Nothobranchius furzeri: one gene and its partners. The protein of the gene in region 3 purifies or fractionates together with the protein of the main gene of each other region. This does not show direct contact. Links are inferred from orthologs where the notes say so. Each region holds a gene or a part of one and is shown on either strand. Other genes may lie near its edges.

The links. Proteins that work in one complex are often made in the same cells at the same time.
Region 1: the proteins of reps1 (region 3) and bmp2k purify together in Homo sapiens (affinity purification with mass spectrometry; 3 studies listed by BioGRID and IntAct, counting the BioPlex papers as one, with this or other methods). This does not show direct contact. The link is inferred for Nothobranchius furzeri from reciprocal best matches to the Homo sapiens genes REPS1 and BMP2K.
Region 2: the proteins of reps1 (region 3) and AP-2 complex subunit mu-A purify together in Homo sapiens (affinity purification with mass spectrometry; 3 studies listed by BioGRID and IntAct, counting the BioPlex papers as one, with this or other methods). This does not show direct contact. The link is inferred for Nothobranchius furzeri from reciprocal best matches to the Homo sapiens genes REPS1 and AP2M1.

The regions. Positions count from the first base shown.
Region 1 is NC_091750.1:39,726,002-39,732,981, forward strand, and holds the end of bmp2k (BMP-2-inducible protein kinase), read right to left. Parts: intron 4,630-6,980; coding exon 3,344-4,629; 3' UTR 3,029-3,343; downstream 1-3,028. Other genes in the region: paqr3a (progestin and adipoQ receptor family member 3a), read left to right, coding at 941-1,138, 1,205-1,295, 1,409-1,551. UniProt on the Homo sapiens protein: May be involved in osteoblast differentiation.
Region 2 is NC_091751.1:56,898,005-56,905,345, reverse strand, and holds the end of AP-2 complex subunit mu-A, read right to left. Parts: intron 7,086-7,341; 5' UTR 7,038-7,085; coding exon 6,964-7,037; intron 4,350-6,963; coding exon 4,084-4,349; intron 3,883-4,083; coding exon 3,800-3,882; intron 3,379-3,799; coding exon 3,243-3,378; intron 2,932-3,242; coding exon 2,787-2,931; intron 2,263-2,786; coding exon 2,143-2,262; intron 1,958-2,142; coding exon 1,822-1,957; intron 1,737-1,821; coding exon 1,639-1,736; intron 1,526-1,638; coding exon 1,414-1,525; intron 1,053-1,413; coding exon 918-1,052; 3' UTR 57-917; downstream 1-56.
Region 3 is NC_091742.1:12,196,607-12,205,198, forward strand, and holds the start of reps1 (ralBP1-associated Eps domain-containing protein 1), read left to right. Parts: upstream 1-2,947; 5' UTR 2,948-3,270; coding exon 3,271-3,423; intron 3,424-5,155; coding exon 5,156-5,279; intron 5,280-7,471; coding exon 7,472-7,719; intron 7,720-8,122; coding exon 8,123-8,285; intron 8,286-8,504; coding exon 8,505-8,592. UniProt on the Homo sapiens protein: May coordinate the cellular actions of activated EGF receptors and Ral-GTPases.

The DNA.
Region 1 (6,980 bases), on a different chromosome or scaffold from region 3:
GTGTGTGTGTGTGTGCTTCAGTAATTGAATAGAGGACCTCTGAGTCTGGCTGGGCTCACTGACTCATTGTTCCTGGTGAATAAGCAACACAACACCTTCTCCGCTCTCGGCGCTTGGAACGCCGCCTCCGATGACACAGACCAGTTCCAGCCGCCCACCACCGTGTTTTTTATTTTATTTTTTACTCCTGAAACGTTTGGCTGGGCTCCGCGCTGCTAGCTTTCCCCCGCATGTTGGAAGCGGCGGGTTATTTTGCCCCCAGAACTTCTCTGAAATCTGCTCCAGCCCAAACCAGATGGCTGTGTTCACAGACAGCTCCACCACTCCTGTTCCCCACCATATGAGCCGTCTCAGCACAGGAGCCCCCCCTCCATGCCCAGACTGGGGCTTTGCTTCAAGGTGGCTCCACTCCAGTGGCAAGCCAAGTCCCTGAAGAAAAACAGATTTTTATATTTAGCCAGTCAAACTCTCGTCTCGTCTTTCAGGGATGCAGATTTGGACAAGATGGAGTCTGTGAGGAGAAGAGCTTAACAATTTGGCTGGAGCTGCGCGGGTCCTTGTTCCGGGTGCAAATTTATTCACTGTGAAATTCAGCAGGACTCGTCACATGAGGACGTGTGACTGGACGGAGGCCTGCATCCACACAAACGGACAGAAGGGACGAGACGAGGCTGTCCAGACTTTCCACAGCTACTTATAGAAGTTTAAGTATCAGGAACAGATCTGAGGACACGCTCGCAGATCTGTGATCACAAGTCAAACAGTAGGAGAGTTTTAACACATGCAGAGGAAACGTGGCCAACAACACTCTCAAGGAACCGTTTTACTCCTCTCGTCTCGCTTTAGCTGCAGGATCTTCAATCGTTTTACCCTGAACGCCTGAGAAGTTCCTACCCCTGTCCTTATGAGTAGATGTGTGTTTGGACTTGGTTGTCTGCAGTACCTGCGGCAGGTGTACCTGGTGACAGTCCTGGCCATGATCCTGGCCGTGTTCTTCGCTCAGATCCACCCTCTCTACCTCAGCAAGCAGTGGAAGCAGCTTCGCTCGCTCATCTTCTGCTCGGTGGCCGGATACGGCCTGGTCCCCACTGTCCACTGGATCTGCATCACAGGAGGCTTCTCCTCGGAGCTGGTCCAGGTGAGCTGGACCGCCTTCACCTGCTCGGCTTTGTGACTCTGAGGTTTGACCCGATTTCCTCTGCAGGCTTTTGTGCCGCGGGTCCTGGGGATGTACTTCATCGCTGCGCTGGCGCTCGTCTTTTATGTTTCCAAAGTTCCCGAGCGTTACTTCCCAGGTGAGATCCGGTTTATTATTATGGGATGTTAACCTCCTGAGCCTCTATTTGAACCTGGCCCACCCAGCACGTTTAAGCATCAGAACCTCTAGTCTTCTATTTCGTGTCTCCAGGTCAGCTGAACTACCTGGGCTCCAGCCACCAGGTGTGGCACCTACTGCTGGTTCTGATGTTTTACTGGTGGCACCAGACGTCGGGCTTCATCATGGCGTACAGACACAGCCAGCCGTGTCCTGAAGCTTCCCAGCATTCATAGCTCCTCGTCAGGGGACCAGGACGGTGAGCAGCGTGTTATTGTTTATGTGAACAGCTGATTTCTAACTCCACATCGGGACACCCGCGTGACAACCTTCTGGTTTCTTTTCTTGCTTTGCACAAACAGCAGCAGATCAAATGTCCCGTTTTCACATGAAGTTTGTGTATACACCCAAACAGATGTAAGAGAAGAGCTGTAGATCGTCTGCAGCGATGGAGGAAACCATCAGCAGGCCAGAAGACCAGGGTCAAAGGTTAGCTTCATGGTCAGACTGCTGACCAACGCTGAAGCTTCACTGTTCCAGGTGTTGATCAAGGGACTGTTTCATATGTTAGCTCCAGAAGCAGCCTGGCCCCTAGAGGGCGCAGCTGCGTCTCTTACTTTAGCTTACAAGCATTTAATTACCCAGAACAAGCCTGGAAGCAGCGTTTCTGATGTTGTCATGGCTTCATTCCAACATGCAGGATGGTTCTGCTGGTTTCTACAGAACCCGCTAGGGTACTGCTGCTGTAGGGAGACACCACCAACTCTTAACAGGTAGGGTTGAAGACCTTGGATGTATTTTGGTCCTTGCTGGGCACCGTAGTGAAGCCAGCTGGTGGTTTCTGCTCCACGGGGACTCGTCTCTGAGAAAGTCTTTAAACTGGCGTTTGAGGAGACCCTCCCTGTGGGTTTACCTGAATCAGCTGATGCAGGTGTTTGCTTTTTGAGCGACGGGTCTGACGGTGCATTTATGAAAGTTTCACCAGCAGCTTTGTTCCAACGTCCCATTTTTGGTTCTTTTTAAAACACAGGAAAGGTTTCTCTGTACCTTGCTGACGTTTCGTTTGCGGCTGCAAACATCCTCTGAGCTGATGGTGGCTGGAGGCAACGCCCTCTGCTGCCCGCGGGTACACAAGAGTAGGAAGTGATGCCACCATCAGCGTCAGCAAGGTAAAGAGAAACCTTTCCTGTGTTTCAAAAAAGAACCAAAAATGTAATTTGAAGAAACAACCACTAGGGGGTGCAGTGGTGGTTTGGCAGGGAGACCATTTCTGGTGCTTAACCTTCACAGGTGAGCTCTGCTGCTGGTCATCATCAGTCTTTAGATCGTTATGGTTCTGCTGACGTCTGTGAGCTTAGCTACGATGCATCCCGGCTGAATCGGTTAATCCCATCATTTTTAAAATAAAACACATGATAAATGTACCACGAGTGAAGGGCTTATCACAGATTCAGTAGTCTAAATTATTAGCTGCAGTAAAACCTAAGTGGTTACCATGGCAACATATTTATAGACTCGTGTAAATAAGTTCTTCAGTCTGCCAGAACAACCCTCCAGGCAGGAGTTTAAGGGTCGTTTTGGAATGAAGCCATTTTCCTTCTATTAGGTGTAAAAACAAAGGTTCTGTTTTTAAATTATTTACGCTTCTGAAATGTTCTGAGACCTTGTTTTATTTCCTGTGACGAGAGTAAAAAACATGTAAATCACAACCTGTTGAAGACATCTGCTTCATGTTTTATTTCCTTTGTTCATAAAAAAAAGAGCCAAACAGAAGTTTCCCGATTCCCTTCTAGAAACATTCAGCTGCAGACAGAAATCCCTTAAAGTGGTTAAAGCTGCGGTCGGTGCAGCGGGGTAAGGCGTCGTGGTGCTTAAGCAGCAGAAGCATGAAGAGCTTTTTGCAGTTACGTATCACAGCACAGTCTCGGGCTCCTAAAGGCGTAAAGCTGAAGCTAAAAACATGTTAGAATAAAAAGATGATCCCGAACCAAAGTCCGGGTTAATCAGCTACCTGAGCAGGAAGACAAGTTAAGGCTTGGAGGGAAAAGGTGCAGCTCCAAATGGGTCAAGGTCCACTAGAGGTGCCGCCACCTGCTGCTGTTGAGGTCCGCTACCGATGACCAGTTCTGTGAAAGGCACCGCCCCAAAATCATCCATGGACCTGCTGTCTCCGCTGCGATGCGAGCCCATCCAGGACTTACCGCTCTCCGTGGGGTGGAACGGTTTGGCCCCAAACGGATCTAAGACTGGATCGTCCACCGCCGCCGCCTTGTCCTTGCCTTCAGCCACAGTGATGTCAACGCTGATGTTCTCTTTCGAGTCGGAGGCACTCAGGAACTCGTTGCTGCTCTGAGAGTCTCTGCGGCTGACCTTCTTGTGCCGCCGGACCTTCTCTGGGGTGCGGTACGTCGGCTTGTTGCTCTTGCGTCCGCCGGTTGGGGTCCCGTGATGCCGCTTCCCGTTGCTGCCCCCTGCAGTCACTTCCTGTTTTGTTTTCCGTTGTCGTGATGACAACTTCTGGAGGCTGCGTTGCTTCAGCCTCTGCTGCTGAGTGGCCAGATCCTCAAAAGATGAGCGAAATATGTCATCTGCGCTCTTTGAGGTGGTAGGAGGAGCTTCAGTAGGGCCCGGGTGGAAAGGGGAGAAGCCAAAGACATCGATGCTGTCCGGGGACATGGGAGGCGTCTGGCCCATGGGAACGTCGCCGCTGCTCTTTCCAGACTTGGAGAGGTTGCAGCTGAACGGTGCTTTGGTAAAAACATCAAAATCATCAGCTGCCGGCTGGTCATGGCCAACCTGCCTGAAAGGTGCTTTGAAGAAGATGTCAGTACTCTCTGAGGGTCCGACAGGCGAACTTCCTCCAAGGAAGGGAACAGCACCAAAGACATCCACGTCCTTCAACACAGTGGCTCTGCTGGGAGACACAGGGGGGGTGATCAGACTCATGCCCTGCGGAGACCTGGAAGCAGCTTCTGTAGCTCCTCTGGGCTTCTTTGAGCGGCTCTTGACCCGGCTGAGGTCGGAGTCTGAGTCCGAGCTGTGTTTGTCTTCTTCATCCTCCTCCTCAGAGTCCATCAGCAGGGGACGCTGTCCCAGGTTCTCCGGCTCCGTGTCCTCACCATGCTCACTGTTCAAGGCCTCCTCTTCCTGCTCTTCTTCCTCGCTGCTCTTCGGAGATGGTGGGTCAGACTCAAAGTCACTTTCTGACTCTTCCCCAGGTTTAGAGATGCTTTTTCTGCAAGGCTTGGCCTCTTTGGCTGCGTCCGGACCCTCAGGAACCTCTGTGTTCTGCTCACTCTTCATCACGCCGGCTCCTGCAGGAACACCAGAAACTGTTAACCTGTGTGTGTATGTGCGTGGCGTACTCTGCGCGGTGGGAAGAACGAGCTTAAAGGTCGAGGACATAGATGCCTTTTAAAACTCAAAATATCCCTTAAAAAAAATGGAAGCACCGACTCGGGTCGTCTGCCCAGACTTGTCCTTCCTGCTCCGGTCTAATTTCTGCATGTTGGAGGTGTTTAATTTACAAAGTATCTTGTTATTTATGTCCGGGAGATTTGAATAAACCTAAAATGAGCCTAATTAGCAGGTGGAGCGTCTCCAACTGTATTGAAACTAAAGAAGCCAATTTGAGTTTAGAGGGAGCTCTGAATCAGGAGACCCCTGCTGTGAACACGGAGACGGGAACCTTTTCATCCTGACTGGCAGGACGACACCAGGAATCAGCCAAGAGAAGCTATGAAGCATAAAAAGATCTGAATACAAACCAGCATGTTCGGATCACAGATTACAGCTCCTATTCCCGTTCGCGACTCCAGAGACGTCTTAATAATCAGACGTCGTCCTCTGGGAGGAGACTGACTGCACGCTGCCTGGGCTCTGGCAGAAGACGAGTGGACATAAAAAATAAACCAAATAAAATCATCTCTGACTTGTGGAGATCAGGATCGCTTCTCCTCTGGGCTTGTTGAAGCGTTCAGCCTCCTGAACCCACAAGAGAAAACGGTTTTCTTTAATCTTTTCTTCTCCATCAGCCAGAGGCAAACATTTCCTTTAATCTTAGAAATCCCAAACAAACACAAATCCTCTGGTTCTGTTCAGCCCGATGATCTGCTGAGGAGAGCTCATCTCAGACCCAGGAACGGCTTTTTTACCCCCACATGCTGCCGTTTGGTGTTCAGGACTGAATCAGCAGTGCTTTTAAAATCTTTTCTGTATCCAATAAAGATTTGAGTCATAAATCAGGGTTTACAACTTTTAAGTCTTTATGTACATCTGCATGGTTATTTTGCTCTAAAACTGCAGGTTTAACCACTAAAACGTTCTAATTAAAATAGTTTTACTAAACCGCTGGAGAAACGGGACTCTTGTGCGTCAGCTGGCTAAACAGGACGAGGAACTGGGACAGCCAAACCAGGAACATCTTGTTGTGTTGGAGTCAACAGCTTCTAAGTAAATAAAAACACCCAAAGTGATTGATTTTACATGTTTATTTATCAACACTAGAGAAACACATTCACAGCAACAGTTATGATACAGGACCGTTTACACGTGAGAGACAGGTTAGTGATCTGTTGCTTCTGTCTGACTTCAAGTAAAACTTCAATATTTTATTGTGAGAAGGGTTCAAATTTGACCTGTACTGAAACCAGATTACACTCTAAAATAAAAGCAGGTAAACGAGGTTTTTCTTTGGGACGTGAATGACGTTTCTGCACCGCCAGCAGGGCTTTAAAGGTTCATGGCTCGAGTTTGTCCCAGCTGGAGCTGCGTCGCCCAAAAACACAAACAAGATGTTTCTGAGGATGGCTGTGACCTCACGGAGGAAAACCCATAAAAGCGGGTGGTGAGGGGGGTTCAACTTACCTTCAGCTAAACGCTACCCAGTTAAATGTGATGAATGAGGGCTCAGGGCTGACCTCTGACTCTTATTTGGGACCTAAAGCAGGTCACGTTTAGTTTTGCAGCCGAATTAAACATTTCTTAAAATAAAACTTTTTTCCCAACATTTACATCATTTAGTTAAACTAACATTAAAGTCCACTTTAAAAAAAATAATCATTTTATGTTGATTTTACTTTGAAAACCCCCAAGAGGGATCCAAGTTCCAGAGCTTAAATCTAAAGACTTTTATACTTTAACTTCCTGTGTCCCAGCCATCCCACCCAGCCGCCGACAGTCCTGACCATCTGGGTGGGACGTGGACACAAAATCTCCACTAGAGGTCACTAAAGCTCAGACTTGAATACTGTTGAATCAGATTTTTCAGTTACATAAATAAACTCGGAACTTTTTGTTTGGCAGCTTTTCTACAACATTTTGGTCCAAATTTACAGAAACCTCTAAGATCTCAGCTATTTTGGCTAAATAGGAGTTTAATATTATTAGCTTTCCCATAATAATCAGTTGCGTGTCAATTAGTTTCGAATCTGTTGGCTCCATGATGCTAACTGGATCCAGGTAAAGCAGCTCTGATGCTAACTGGATCTGAGTAAAGCAGCTCTGATGCTAACTGGATCTGAGTAAAGCAGCTCTGATGCTAACTGGATCCAGGTAAAGCAGCTCTGATCTGAAGGAAACCAACAGCACACTCGTGGAAACAAACATAAGGCTGAGAAAAACACACAAGGAACTAAAAACAATCCGATTCCTGTGGTTCTTCAAG
Region 2 (7,341 bases), on a different chromosome or scaffold from region 3:
ATGACTGTACTCCCCCCCCCCAGAGTATTATAAAAAACACAGCTGAAAAGGAGGGGTAAGATGTTTGGTTACATAGATTTTATTGGACAGAACGGTCACCAGGGCTACACACATGAAGCAGACAGTGGCGAAGCAAACACCAGGGGGAGACATCACCTCACTGCAAACCCTGCAGACTGATCTTTAAATCCAAAAATAGTGTGAAAGTTAATCTTAGTGCTTATAAAATGTTTGTGGGAATGAGTCAGAATAAGCCAATCAGGATGAAGGTCTAACCTGCCTGGCATAACTCTGAAAGCGGAGGGAAAAGGAACACAGGTAAAGGATCAGTAACGTCCAAGTACAAAACCAACTTGCTCAGCGTCATTTCTTTCTGAACGACAGTCGGCTGGGAATGATTTACCTTCTAGTGACGAGCATGTAGCATCAAATACCGATTCATTGAAAAGGTCAACTCTACCAGGATATTTATATATAGAAACTATCAGGACTTATTTTAAATCACAATAGTGACGAACCCCCTTCCCAGGGTTAACTGACGTGGGATTTCTATATCGGAGAAAAGAAGAACGATAACACTGGATACACAAAGCTCCCGCCCTCTCCCCCTGAGACCCGGCATCACTTGTCTTTTTCATTCGGACACCAGATGGTTTACATTTTTTACTCATCACTACTAGATATATACGATACAATGGTTCACATTTTGCATATATCTGAATTACACCATATTTACTTGTTTTTCTTTTAAACGATGTAAATTCAATCTCCGACACCTAGTTAAGAAGGGATGATGGGGAAGGAGAAAAGTGATAAGGACAGAGGGAGGAACAAAGACGGAGGAGGAGGAAAGAAGAATAAAATGACAGGAAAGATGGGAGGGAAGTGGTCAGTTTGCTGCCTGGCGGGGCTGAACTTCAGCAGCGGGTTTCGTAGATGCCGGAGCGGCCGATGTACCGCACCCATTTGATGACGTCGTGGTCACTGTAATTGAGCTTGGACTCAAACACCTTCAAGTAGCGCACCTTCAGGCCAGAGGGTGCGAAAGGAACCTGGAGAGGAGAGGGAAGTTGGAACATGTTAGGACAGGCGGGCTGCTCTGTTTACCCACCACCGAAGCTCTGAGTTTGTTTAACACTAAACGGCTTTTAAGTTTCTTAGCAAATACTGGGATCTGATTTAACCCAGAGTCCATTTGTTTGGCTGCCAACACCACATTACAGTCTCAGCCACCAGGAGAAGCTGGGAAATATCTAACTTATTATTATCTATGTCTGTGACTGTTCACAGAATAAATATAGTTTTAGAAACATCAGCTGGAAGAGAAAAGTTCACTTTGAATCCGACTGAAATTAGGAAGCTCTTAAGCTGTGACAGCTTAAAGGAGGACAGACTGGACTGTGCTGCGCTTACCTCAAAGTTCATAGAGATGGGAGGCCTGGCCCATTTCTTCTTATCGTTGGTAGGCAGCAGCTCAATCTCAGCACTGATCTGAGACTCCTTCATCCCAGCCATCCGCTTGATCCTGCAAATGCAAACTTGTAGCTTCACAAAGGAAACATTCCCACACAGGAATACTTGAGAGGTTAAACATCGAGTTCAGATTGTTAATTAAATTTAATCTAAGCTCCAACTCACTTCCAGACTATGGCGTTCTCACTGGCCTTGTATTTGGCTTTTCCCTTCATGCAAATCACCTGCACACCGCTAGTGTTGAGGGGTGTTGGAATTCGCACCTGAGGAGAGAATTAGCCCAGATATTTACCAGTGAAGTCAAAACTTAAAGAATTTCATCAAAAATGTAAAAATGTGTTTGCTGACCTCAATTTTCTGAGCCAGCAGCGAAGGTTTGAAGTTGGACTTGATGACCACTTTAACCTCCAGTTTGGTGCGACCCACCTCCCTGACCAGAGGAATAACTCGGAACGGCAGGATGATGTCCTTAGTGGTGCGATATCTGAAAAATACATACATTTAAAAAGTAAATTAATAAAAATAAATGGGGGGGGGGGGGGGAATTATCAATCCACCAAAATTTTGAATGAGTGGAAAAATAAAAAAATAAATAAAAACCCAGCAGGATCTATCAGAGCAGACATTCATGGATGCTTTAGGCTCTAATAATCTACTACCATTACTGACCTCATGAGCTCATACTCTCCATCAGGAGGGATGAAGCTGATGCTGCGCTCAGAATCAAACTTACTGAGACGCACACACTGGTGGAAAGTGCAGTCATCAATGGCTATGGACTGCTTCCCACTGAAGAGGACAGAAGATGCATCAGACACACCAACTAACTTGTTACTAGTCTGGATTTTAACTATCCTTTTCCAATCTACAGATAAAATCTACTCTCTGGATATCCACCAGTATACTTAAGTACAAAGACATGGCTGCTAGAAGACAACATTTGAACCTGGATTAAATTATTACTACAAAACTACAGTAAATGATGATGGGTAAAGAGTGAACTAGGACGGTTAGGGATGATGAAACAGTTACTGGGCAGAACACAGGAGGAGAATGAAGCGGTGGAGGGAGAGGAACCTTGTTGCTATCGTACCTTCCTCCCCCTAAATCACTGTGGTACAGCACAAAGTAAAGAAAGGATAAAAGACAGAGAGCCATCCAAAAGGAGAGCAAACAAAAGGACAAAAGAATTTCTTAGTCGGAGCTCAAGGACAGAACTATTTAGACAAGAAAAGCAAAGTCATAATTTATGTCCCTCCTTATGAAAGCACGTTTGACCAAAGCGCCTGCCTCCTCACTCACGCATCACTCACCTTTTCCCTGCATCGTCGGACGCTCCTCCCTTGCCCTGCTTGTCGATGACGATCTTGTCGTTCATGCCGAATTTGCACTCCGGCATTCCGCTCAGGTAGCTCTTCATCACAACACGGCCCGACACGTGGGCGCTCAGGACCTGGCCTGGATGGAAGGAGTGAGAGGATCAACATCTGGACACCGCTGGGACAGGTTCCACCATATTTAGACAGCGTTTCTGCACAATAGGACTTTTTAATTCAGGTCTAAAACTGTGGAAATACTAAAATTATTCTACAGTACCATCTCTGTTTAAAGCTGCAGAAGTAAACACGATCAAAAAGTCTTCAACTAGTTTTAGTCGACCTTCATGGCAAAACTTGATAGCAAGTCATTTAGACGTCTCTGAATGTCAACATTTCCTCGGATCTTTTTATGTTAGCAGTCAGGGACGTCTTTAGAGGACATAAACAGACCTTGAGGTGACATGAGCAGATTAACACTTTCCAGTACATCCAGGAAGAGCTCATTGCGGCGATACTTGATGCCCTCACGACGCCAGCCGATCTGGCCCGTCACCTGGCTGGTGATCTGAGACTGCTCCTCTTTTGTCTGAGAAACAGGAGCAGAAACTGGATCAGGAACAAAGAGCAAAACTTCCACACAAGGATGATGATGATCAGAGGATGACAGAGAGTGGAAACACATGAAAACACGACTTTTTACAAAACTTTCAACATTACCTGGTGCTGAATGGTCCAAAAACCGCAGACGAGGGAAACAATGACACACACACACACACACACACACACAAACAAACACACATTTAATATTCATACAAATTAACCACATGTAAAGTTTACTAGAATCAGATACAAAAATAAACATTTCCACCACCAGATTGTCTTTAAACTATTCATCGCTTCAGGTTAGAGTGAATTTAGTTCATCTGAACACCACTTTTCTAGGTTATCTTCTACAAAAACATCAAACTGAAAGCTCTACATCAGTCGGGGGCAAACACTGTACTTACTTGTCCCTTAATGCCTTGCTGGGTGATGAAGGTCTTCAGGGCTCCGGTCTCTGAGTTCTGGGGGTAGCCAAAGTCCAGGATCTCTGAATAAACAAACACCAGTAGATAGCGGTTAGCGATAAAAGACTAGTGTAGAGAAAACTAGAACATGAAGTACACGGAGTAGCCGGTGCTGACTGACTAACAGAACATTAGGCTTTTTTTCTACACCCAGACATGTGTAAGTCCAGCAGTCCTACAAAATGTTTATTATATGACTAATAGACTCCAGGATCGTCTCCTACCATCCAGCAGCTCGTAGATGAGCACAAAGTTGTTCTTGATGTTCTCCTCGCTGATTTTGCCAAAGTAGGCAGTCATGACGTCACACATCTTGTAAAGGAACTCAAACACCATGGCAGCGTTGACATTCTGCTTGGTCACAGCTGCCAACCATATGTTTGAGCGCTTGACATGGAAGAAGCTGGTGCGGGCGATGTTGGTCACCGGCGACCGGACCTGCTGCCGGGCGTGAATCACGTTCACGCGGAACGCGTCCACGGCATTCCGCCTGCAACGACGAGCAGGGGTGAGACAGAAAGAAACATTTAGGTTGGACTTTAAAGCCAATCATATGCTTGTCAACATTAGAGCGGATTATTTTACGATCTCTGAAATAAAAAAAGGCTGCAGAGCGGGGCTAATATAAAGTTTAACATTAAAAAGGAAATAACTCCCCCGCTCCTCACTAACATGCCCTTGTTTTTATTTCTCAAGGAGGCAAATATCAAAATCCAAGCAGCAAAAGCGGGACGTTCTGGGCTGGTGCATTTAGAGTGTTTGGTGTAAACTGTGATAGTCTTCACAGAGAGAGAAAATAAAAACTTATCATTCCCTAGATTTGGAGGAGTCATAGGAAAGAAAACATGTTTATATCATGTACTTTAATCACAAACTCTCCAAATGTCATCTTTATTTAGATTTGGAAAAAACTATTTTGTAGCAAAAATTGGGGCTCAGTGCAAGGATGGCTCTGACGAGGGTCTGAGATAAACCAACAAATGCACCACAGATTAAAACTGTTGATCGATGACCTGATTACCTCCTGTGTATGAAAACGTTTTCAAAAGGCCACCTTTACAAGTAAAACCTCAAACTATACCAAAGATTTCCGAGAGAAAATGGAATTATCAGATCCCATGCTCAGACTCCATGCTGGGATACCAGAACAGCTGATTTAGCAACAATATTTCCTGCTGACATTAACTGAAAATAAATTCTTAGATCTGAGTTAATCTGCTGCATTTCAGTACAAAGCCATTTATTTACTGCTGTAAGGACTCATGCTTACAGGAACTGCTGGGTATTTGACCAAGGCATGCGGTTTAAGGTTCATGGGGTGACTGATCTGAGGCCATGAGAAAGGGGGAGAGGGGGTCATGCTTTAAACGCTGCAGCAGCTCTTACCTATTCCTACATGGGCCAAGATGAAACAGATGGGAGAGGTGATAGAGATAGGAGAAAAGGGATGAGGTAAACAGAAAGGAGAGACAAAAATGTACAATTGACATTTTTGTGCATTATGTAGACAGAGTGAGTAACGTGGTGTTTATTATTAGGGTGCTATTTTCACAATTAGGTACAGGAGGGAAAGGGCAAACAGCTTCAGACTGATAAAAACATGCTAGTTAATTTACACACAATTACAGAGGCATGAGGAATTTAATGCAGCGGTCAAGGAGCAAACCTAAAACATCTGGTTTGTGTTACACTGCTGCTGCAGCCAGGGGGACGAATACCTACGAAAACTACTGAAGCAACATCAATAAGCTATGAAATTCATGGATTCACACAACTATGCTTTTTCCAGCATAATGCAATGAAAATAAAATGAGCGGGTGTTTTAATTTTCTTTTCTTTTTTGGGTTCAGTGGAATTTTGTACAACACACAGTGGTGAAAGCACACACACGAGCAGATGTTTATTCTGGGAAAGCAAGGTGGAAATTCTACTTAGATCATATCCATAACACGTTGCACAAGAGCAGTGCAGACCTTACATTTGCCCTAACACAGCAATGCCTTTTTGTAAAATGAATGAAATTAAAAAAAAGTGAGTGGCTACATTTTTCCATCTATTGCTGCTCAGCACTGGTTGTGATGACTCAGCTCCGTTTTTAAACCACATTTCAGAATAAGTATCCAGCATGGGTTTCATTACATGTTTTAACCTTTCATAATAAAATTTTTAATGCAGGAGTTCAAGTCTTTCCTTTGAGGACCCCATAGCCCATGTCCAAGACAAGCCAGGACCCCAACCCCAACATGCATTACACATTAATGTGATCATTTACAAACTTTTATATGGAGTTCTGATTATACTGTAGGGTGTGTTACCATGATTTTCTAAATGTAATTTTTTTTTTTTTACAAATAAAATCTTGCCAACCTCAGCTAAGAAAATGCCCAGTAATCTTATTGGGACACCTTGGGGGCCCAGACCCCCAATTTGGGAACCCCTGCTCTAATGAACTCAGACATTTAAAAGAGCAAAGGTGAACAAATTAATTAAATTTACCACAGATGCAGCAATAAGATATTCTGCTCACAGACACGCCTCTTTTCGTTTAGTGTAAATGATTACAGCAGAAATAATTATTTATATATTTTGCTAACAAAGTAAAATATTAACCATAGCATTGTATAAAATAATGCATTCAATATTAATCATCAATACAGAAAGGTCTATTTTGCATTAAACAGTTTGACTTACAAGAGTGAGAAAATCACAAGTGTAGTCAAGTGTATTTGCAAACACAAATGTATTGAGGCAAAAAAAAAAAAAAGAAGAAAAGGAACACATTTTAGCAAATAAATTACTTGGTCAGAAGAAGAAAATGATAATTCAAATACTATCCCACCATGAGGAAACTGGCAGTGAAGCCAATTTGAATTTGAGCATTCCACACAGCTGCGTCTAATCTTTTAATTTGAAGGTGTGGTTTATGATAAGCACAAGGGAAGCAAATCATTGCCTCAGACAATAAAATTGTGTTGTTTCTTTGCAGAAACATGCCAAACACTAATTTAGCTAAACAGAAACCCATAATAATCCTCTCATCCAGAATCAAACCTAAACAGTCCACCCACAAGATTATCATCGCACATAATGTCTGAGAAACATACCCTATGTCATCTCGGTAGACGCGGGAGATGAGAACCTCTCCCTTGTGGTTGTAGATGAACAATCCTCCAATCATTGTGAATGCTTCTCAATCCCAACTTGCCATGATGAAACCAAACCCCTCCTGAGGATAAAAAAAAAGATTGAAATTTGGGAAGGAAAAGGGGAGATAGGAAAGTAAAAGCAGTGTAAAGTAAAAGTCACCCACAGTACAGAGAGGCACTTGTCCCTCGCATCCGTTTTCCTGTTTCTCTCACTCACACACTCTCTTGCAGCTGCACTACACCATTAGTGACTTTATTAAATCACTCATTTGCATAGCTGCACCAGCTTTTTAGGCAGCTTCACCTCTCTCTTTCTCACACACACACACACACACA
Region 3 (8,592 bases):
TTATTCTTTCAGGCTCATAAACTATATTCCCGGTTGAGTCTTTAACAGCAGCTATGGTAGTTTTCTCTTTATTAATTTTTAACTGGCTAGCTAAAAATTTACCTGATTTATTACTATGTTCAAAGTTTTCTATTCAAAGTCTTTGTGCTAAAAATTGTGTCTTTTTGTCAATAATTCCAAGAAGTTCTAATTTAGCTTTATGTAATTTGCTCATTAACTCTTCTTCTTTGGATGCCTCTAAAGACTTAATGATTTCTTCTAACTCCTGAATATGTTTGTTTTCTGTTTTTTCTTATGTGATGAGAAAGAGATTTTTTTACCTCTCATCACTGCCTTTCCTGCCTCCCAGAGAACAGATGCTGATGTTCCAGGCAGGTCATTATGTTCTAAATATAAAGCCCACTCCTTTTAAAAAAATTCTATAAAACCTTCGTCTTTAAGCAGTGATGTATTAAACCTCCAGTTTTTGCTTGATGGGATTGTCTTCTTGTTTACCAGAGTTAAAGAAACCGGAGCTTGGTCGCTGACAACTATGGGGTGTATCTCAGTGTCTGAAATGTCAGCCAACAATGAGCTGCTGACTAGAAAATAATCCAAACGTGAATGAGAGTGATGGACGTAGACTTTAGATAATCCTTAAAGCGTTAGTTTTATTTATTCCGCATCGAATGGTAGATTGAAGGCACCACGGGAGCTCATCTGACTTCATCGTGACACGAGCGAACACTAGTATCTATTTGTCTGTCTATCTATCTATCATCTATCTATCTATCAATCAATCTATCTATCTATCTATCTATCTATCTATCTATCTATCTATCTATCTGTCTGTCTGTCTGTCTGTCTGTCTGTCTGTCTGTCTGTCTGTCTGTCTAGAAAAATTTGCATTTTTTTCTTTAGCAAATTCTATGTTTAAAATATTTTCTTAAACACAACAAAACATCAGAAACTGGTCTTATTCTTAGTGACGTCTTAAGTTGTAAGTGCATAATTTTTGGTTATAGTTTAATATCTGTCATGTGAAGTAAAGTTAGTTTTACTAAGTTAGTTAGTAAATAGTTTCTGATGAATGTGCCTGCGATTACTTAAAGACTGTTTTAAGTCTGCTTTGATTGCTTGTACATATTGTAAATGAGAACAGTCCGTTGTCTTTATGTCTAATTGTTTTGTCTTGTATTATTTTTTTAATCTTACCTGTTTTTCTTTGATGTAAAGATGTGTCTGTTACTGCAACCTCTTGACCATATCGTTGTAAATGAGAATGAGTTCTCAATCGACTTGTCCGGACAAATAAATAAATAAAGTTCAGCTCTTATTTTGAAATTAGTCATCCGGGTCTCTACAGGCCAAACAGACTCGCGCTGACTCGGACCGTAGCGTGACATCGTAGCGAAGAAACAAAAGGTCCCACCGGAAGTATCCTGTTTTGATGTCAAAACAAAAGCACATAAAATGTGGAGGAGCTATCTTTCAGCAAATTTTACAGTTAAATGTTATTGATTTATGTCATCAGATAGTTCAGAAAAATTCTTAACTTACAAATCTGTGTTTATTCTTAATAATTAATCTTTTATATAATCATCACCATGCATTAATTAATGTTGCACTCAAGCAAACGATGAAGAATCACAAAATAAATATTTTATTTAAAACAAAACGGACCAAAGGATATTCAACTCTAATTTCCCTCTGGAATTAACTTTAATTTCCCTCTGGGATTAATAAAGAATTTTTGAATTGAATTGAACAACTACATTACACTTTGGCTAAATGCCACGTTGTTTTTAATCTTATAAACTAAAATGGGAACTGCTTGAGAAAGAATCAAACACACTAACAATGTCAAAAGAAGAAGCTAAGCTAAAAACTGTCACCATGTCGAGGAACTAACCTTTCCCCTTCCTTTTGTTGCAAACCACGTGAATAAAGAGACTCTAATTTCGAAAGAATAGTTAGATCACAAGTTTGATCTGTCATATTTTCTTTAAAGTGTGTGTCATTTTTTTTTTACTTTAGGACTTGAACAGTACATAATAGAAAACTCTTTATTGTCCCTCAGTGGGAAATGTTGGTGTCACAGCAGCAAACATTCACAAAGGAGCCAAATAAGAGTAAAAAATAACGAATAAAGGTTAAGTAAAATAAAAAAAATAAACAAGAAGAAAACACAAAAACATTTAAATCATTGAAAGTCCTCAAACATTAAAAAAATCTAAAAAAATAATAATGCACACACACACACACACACACACACACACACACACACACACACACACATATATATATATATATATATATATATGAAAATACTAATTTGCATGCACATATTGATAGCAGTGTATTCACAGCAGTATGGAAATTGGAACAAGCAAATAAATAGTTTTATTAGCAATTTTTCAATTACACTTTAATTTAGGTTTGGTGTTAGCTCATTTGATTAAAATTTACATAAAATTACCACAAAAACTATTATCACTTTTTTATATTTGAGTCAATTTCTGATTATTTTATGCAACATATAAAATGTGGCTTATTTAGGAAAATAAAACAGCCAGTGGCCGGTTAGGAAAATAAAACAGCCAGTGGCCGGTTTAGTATATGCACAGCTTTTGAAATTTTTATATTTTTGTCTGAACAAGTGCGAACATTATTTTTAAAGAGCTCTTCCGGAAGCCCAGTAGTAACTTCCGGTGACTTTTAAGTGATGGCAGGAATGGCCGCTATGATTACGAGAGGAAGAAGCTCCGAGACCCTGAAACTTTACTTCTAACGGCCCCGTGGAGGAATCTTTCTCCACTAGGATTTAGAAACACCCCGCCGCTGCGGATCGAGAGGGGACGAGACGCCGTAACGTAAGATTGGCACGGTTGGTGTCCAGATCGAGAAGGTGGACGCAGTTTACGACTTGGCAGTGCCGTTAGTGCGGCTGACTTTGATTCAAGGTAGCTGTTAGCTCTGACTGAGCCAGCTGTTGGCCACTTTGGCTCTGCTATCCAACAAGTTAACGAACTGTGTGAAAGCGTCCCTCGTTGGAATATTCGAGTTGGGCTTGGCGCTGTTTACTTGCACACAGCATTAGGAGCGTTTACGGAGACTGGGGGGCCACGCGACAACAACTCGATACGGTGTGTTGTGGACATTCTCACCGCTAACCTCATCGTTAGCTCGCTGAGTTGGGATCCTGAAGGCTCGCCCATTTTCGGATCCTGCCCCAGCCATTGGCTACGGGTAAATCAGCAGCCAACTCGTCCGGTCTCCAGGTTCACTACGATGGAAAGTCTAACGCTGAGTGATGTGGAGCAGAAATATTACTCGGACTTGTTCGTCTACTGCGACACGGACAACACCAAGAAAGTGGCATCCAACGGGAGAGTTCTTGACCTTTTCCGGGCGGCCCAGCTACCAAGCGAAGTTGTCCTGCAGGTAAGCTAACCAGAGCAGGTATCGGTTTTAAGCCGTTCTGACAACAAAGTAAGACTGAGCAGGAAACCTTGAGCTGTTAACAGATGAGGTATAAAGTTAGCCGTCTGTTAGTGACCTGAGGTTAGCTGGCTGGTTAGCAAAGCTGCGCAGCAACAGACACACCTTCTTCTGGCTAATGTTAGCATCTGTAGCTGCTAGTGGATCCTCTATCTGCTTCTCCTTCTGTTGTGTCTGAATCACTGCTGTTTTTTTATGTGGTCATATGAAAAGCAGAAGACGTGATATTCTCACCAATCCCGTGTCTGACATGCAGCAAAACAGACGGTGTGCCACAGCATGTAGCTTCTAATGTGATTTATGTGGTAAAGAGGGGTTTCAGGTGGGGCTGTAATACCCAGAGTTTAATCATTGAAGGCATCGTTTAACTGCTGTGTTTAATTGCAGTGTCACACAAATTCAGGTGTAAAAGGAAGAATGAATGAACCCACTTCTAAAAAAGCAAACTCTCTAAAAAGAAGCAAAACAATATTTCTAAAAAAATTGTGCAATTAATTTTGTACACAATAAAGCTACAGCTGTTTTTACTGAGTAAACCCACTGGACATTTTAGGATTTCGGTTGTTTCTGTCACTATCAGCCAAACTGATGTCATTTTCTTAGCTGAATCCCATCTTGAATCATTAATATTACAAAGCATTGAGAGCTGGTTTCAAGTGATCAAACTAATGATTAGTGTTGCAACACCCTGCAGCAATAATTGCGGCTGACACCACCCCGTTTCTGTCAGCGGTTTGTTTTTATACTAGTAGTGATGCCTTTCCTTTCGCAACTGTTCTTTTCACTCTTTCCTCAGACATTAACAGTTGATCTGTACTTAAATCAAACAGAAGCATCAGCCCTTGTTTAATCTTGTGCAGCAAATGAAGTTGCAACATGATCTTGGGTTGGGTGACCATAGGATGTAGCTGCCTCAAGTCGTTTCATGTGTGATAATCCCATCTCTGGCACTTATCTGAGTCATGAGCAGCCAGTTAAACTGCAGCGACCCGTTCTCGTGTCTCTCAGCAGTCCAGTATTTGCAGTTTGTGAGTCAGCATCCTTCAAGGTCAGCAAGTCGAGCTGTGTGGAGGAATCAGCCGGCGTTGTACTTTGACAGTACACACTGAGCTCAGTGTTGTTGGCCCATTAGACGCTACGCCGTGGCATGACTGGTGCTTTTTGTGCTCACACACTTCGATAAAGTCCTCTGTCAGCAGCAGGCAAGAAAGGCATCAGTCAGCTGTGGGAGTTCACAGTCCCGAGAGGCTGACACTTCATGGGTTAATCATCCACAGGTTGCAGACGTACTTGTCTTTCCTTTTTTATTTTCGTGAAGACATGATGATTTTTTAACTGTTTTTAAAGTTTCTCCTGTGTTTCCTGATGCTGTTGCGTCCAGCGGATCTGCTAATCGGCACAAAATGATTTAGAATGTGTGATGATCAGGCTTGTGGCTGCTCTCTGAAGTAAACGCTGTAAAACAGGCTGCTGCTCGGGCCACATTCAGAACCGGGACTAAGAGCTTTTGTCAGCTGTTTAGTGTTATGCTTGACATGAGAGAAGGGGACAGTTGATCCTAAAATACCATAATGCTACTTATTGAGAGTTGAACAGAAGCTGTCACAAGTTTGACTCCAGATGAAGACAATAACGTTAACAGTTCCTCGTGTGTGTGTGTGTGTGTGTGTGTTAGATCACAGAGTTATGTGGAGCCACTCGGCTGGGCCATTTCGGACGGAGCCAGTTCTACATCGCTTTGAAGCTAATCGCCATCGCCCAGTCTGGTCTACCCTTGAGGGTGGAAAGTCTCAATTCGGGTGAGTTCCTGTGTAAACCTCACCACTGCTCTACAGACCGATTCCCTTTGCTGGCATCTCAGGAACACAGCATGTGTGAACGGGCTGCTGGACTTGTGTGTTTACCTTTACAAAGAGAGGATTCAGATTTTTTTTTTTTTTTTTTTTTTACTGTTTCTGGACTTTGGAGTAATTTGGGCACAACAATAAGGGACAGGCATTTGTTTATGTTTATTTATTTGGCAGACGCTTTTATCCAAAGCGACTTACAATTTATAACCTATAGGGCATGTTGTGATCTGTGGGGGAAACCGGAGTACCCGGAAGAAACCCACGCATGCATGGGGAGAACACGCAACTCCATGCAGAAAGGCTGCAGCTGAGTTTTCGAACCTGCAACCTTTGTGTTGCAAGGCAACAGTGCTAACCACTGCACCACCATGCAGCATTTGTTGTCATCTTTAGTTATTATACGATACTGTAGAGGAGCAGGAGAAGTTAACCTAAACGGTTTGTGTTCATGGAATAAGCCGTTCAAGCAAGCAGCATTTTTAAAAACTTTATTTAAATTGTCCAACCCCCTTCCTTCAGGCTCCGCCCTTAAGCCACGCCTCCAGAATGGTAAATGGTAAATGTATTTGTATTTGATATAGCTCCTTCTAGAGTCCTGGAACCCCCCAAGGCGCTTTAATACAACACAATCAGTCATTCACCCATTCACACACACATTCACACACTGGTGGGGATGAGCTACGATGTAGCCACAGCTGCCCTTGGGCGCACTGACAGAGGTGAGGCTGCCGAGCACTGGCGCCACCGGTCCCGCCGACCACCACCAGCAGGCAACGTGGGTTAAGTGTCTTGCCCAAGGACCCAGCGACAGACTGAGCAGGGCTCGAACCTGCAACCTTCTGATTACGGGGCGAGCACTTAACTCCTGTGCCACCATCGCCCACATCCAGAATGCAGGAGAATGCTGGATGCAACAGATGCTGTCAAGCAACCAAAAACATAACCTTATCTTACCTTTTTGCCCTGTCGTCGGCACCTTTTCTGGCATAATTCCCAACATAACACACCCACATAACCGCCACGTAGCCCCCAGGCGCCTGGCGACTCCTCGTAATCCGGCGTCCATCAGGGGTTCTTCACTGAAAGCTTAGAACAGAGAATCTACTGGGAACTAGACTGGCGATCCAGTGGGGAGCACTGGATTTATTACACTGGAAACCTCTGCTACTTCAGCTCAGGCTACATACCTGTATAACAATTTAGCATGCTAGCTAATATAGGTAGCCAGACTCTGGCTTCACTTCCTGTGTAGCTGCTCCAAGCCAAGAATGTGCAGTTTGTGCACATAGAGGGGTGTGTGCAGAGGAGGAGGGATGGTCAAAGGGCAGTTTGATGGATGGATCAGGATCCAATCCTTAAGAACGGGACGTCCACAGTGATTGGATGTGGTATTTCCAGGATTGTACATTTGCCGTTGGTATGACGAGCATTTCAACAGTGTGGCAAAAATTCCCCGGGAAAACATCTCCTGCACCTGGATAAAACCATTCACGCTGGACCTGCTCTAATCACCTGGAGACACACAACGAGCTTACCTGGGCTCACAAGCATCGTTTGATCAGTGGACCAGTTTGATTGGTTAATGTCGGCCATGTTTCTGCATATTTGGCATTAAGAAGTCACTCCTCACTAGATGATCTGAGTTTGTAAACATAGAGACGGGAAGGTTTTAGCTTAATGTCACTCTCGCGCTGCCCACAGCGGCCAGGAACTATTTCACATGATGAAATATTTGATACCACATTTGGAGGTCGAGAGGCCGCTTCCTCCTGCATCGTGGAGACGTACAGTGTTGTGGATTTTGGTTTAGAGACCGAATTCAAGCCTTCCACTCCTTAAAAACCATTATTTACACGTTGAAGTCTCCACCGCAGCAACATCACAAGTTTAAGTTCCATGTTTTGTGTGAGGTTCGACTTTGTAACCCAGCAGTAACGAGCTGAACAGACCTGTTTGTTTCATTTTGAGGAAGCAGCTGTGACCGTCTTTATGAGCTATAATCCCATCATCTGATTACAGCAGCTCTCTCTCTCTCGGCTGCAGAGAGTCAGAGTACCCCAAATGCTGACAGCTTCTGTGTCTTTTGCAACGATTTGATTAGGAAGCGTTGTGAATAATTATTTTATTTTCTTCCTCGTCAGTCAAGGATCTGCCGCTGCCCAGGTTCGTGGTTGGGAAGAACGAGGCTGAAGCGCGACACGCTGCTCTGTACCAGGATGCAGAGAGCCAGGGTCTGTACCCACCCTCCAGTATGGCGGTGATTCCCAGACCACCGGGCAGAGGTCACCAGAACAAGAAAGGTCCCCCCTCCTCTTCCTCCTCCTCCTCCTCTGCTTCACATCCTGCCCTCGAGGTCATCCAGCCTCTGGCACCGAGTGTAGAAGCTCAGGTTGGTGCTGCTGCTGTTTAAAAACACGCCTCTTATCTGTGTGGATGATTTCCTGGTTTTAGGAAAGGAAAAGATGCTTTTATTCATACGTTAGGGAACGAAGTGGAGCAGCTGCTGCAGTTCTACTTCCTGTTGCTTTCCAGTGGTCAGATGGGTTTTCTGCTGCTCGCTTTACTCGGGTCTTTCTGCATTTTGTTGTGAAATTCTGTCTTGAAGGTCCCTCGTGTGTTTGGAGCAGACATAACGAGTAGCTGGTTCAGACCGGTTCAGACGCACACGGAGTACTGTGATGGATTAAACCCGAAACGAAAACATTCAGATGTGTTTTCACCTCCTGGTGTTCATGTTTTAAGGGTTTAACTCACACAAACGACTTGATCTGTTTTGTTTATATGATTTCCAGCCTGAACCAACGTCCCCGGTCATCTCGCCTCACCAGTCCCCCCCCACCTCCCCTCACTCCTGGAGGAAACACAAGCGGCAACACAGTGGAGGAAACCCAGACAGGCAAGCAGTGGGGGCTGCAGCTGGAGCAGTGTGGACGCAGTTCAGAGAACCACCAGCAGGTTGGATTCATACGTTTTTCTTTCCTCTACCTAAACACGAGTTTTGAAAACAAGTTTGGGCTTCAGCGGTCGACTTTGTACTAGATTCTCTAATTTCCCTCTGGGATTAATAAAGTATTGATTGATGATCTGAATGTTCAATGATTTGTAAAATCCTTCAGCTCAAAATGTGGTTGTGATTTTTAAAAATACGTCGTTTAGTGTGAAAATGTCTTTTAGCTCAAGGTCCAGGACCAGTTGAAGGCATATGGGCGTCTCACTCGCCGCCGCCCCCCAGCCAGGAGAGCTGGGTCAGCTTTACAGCCGA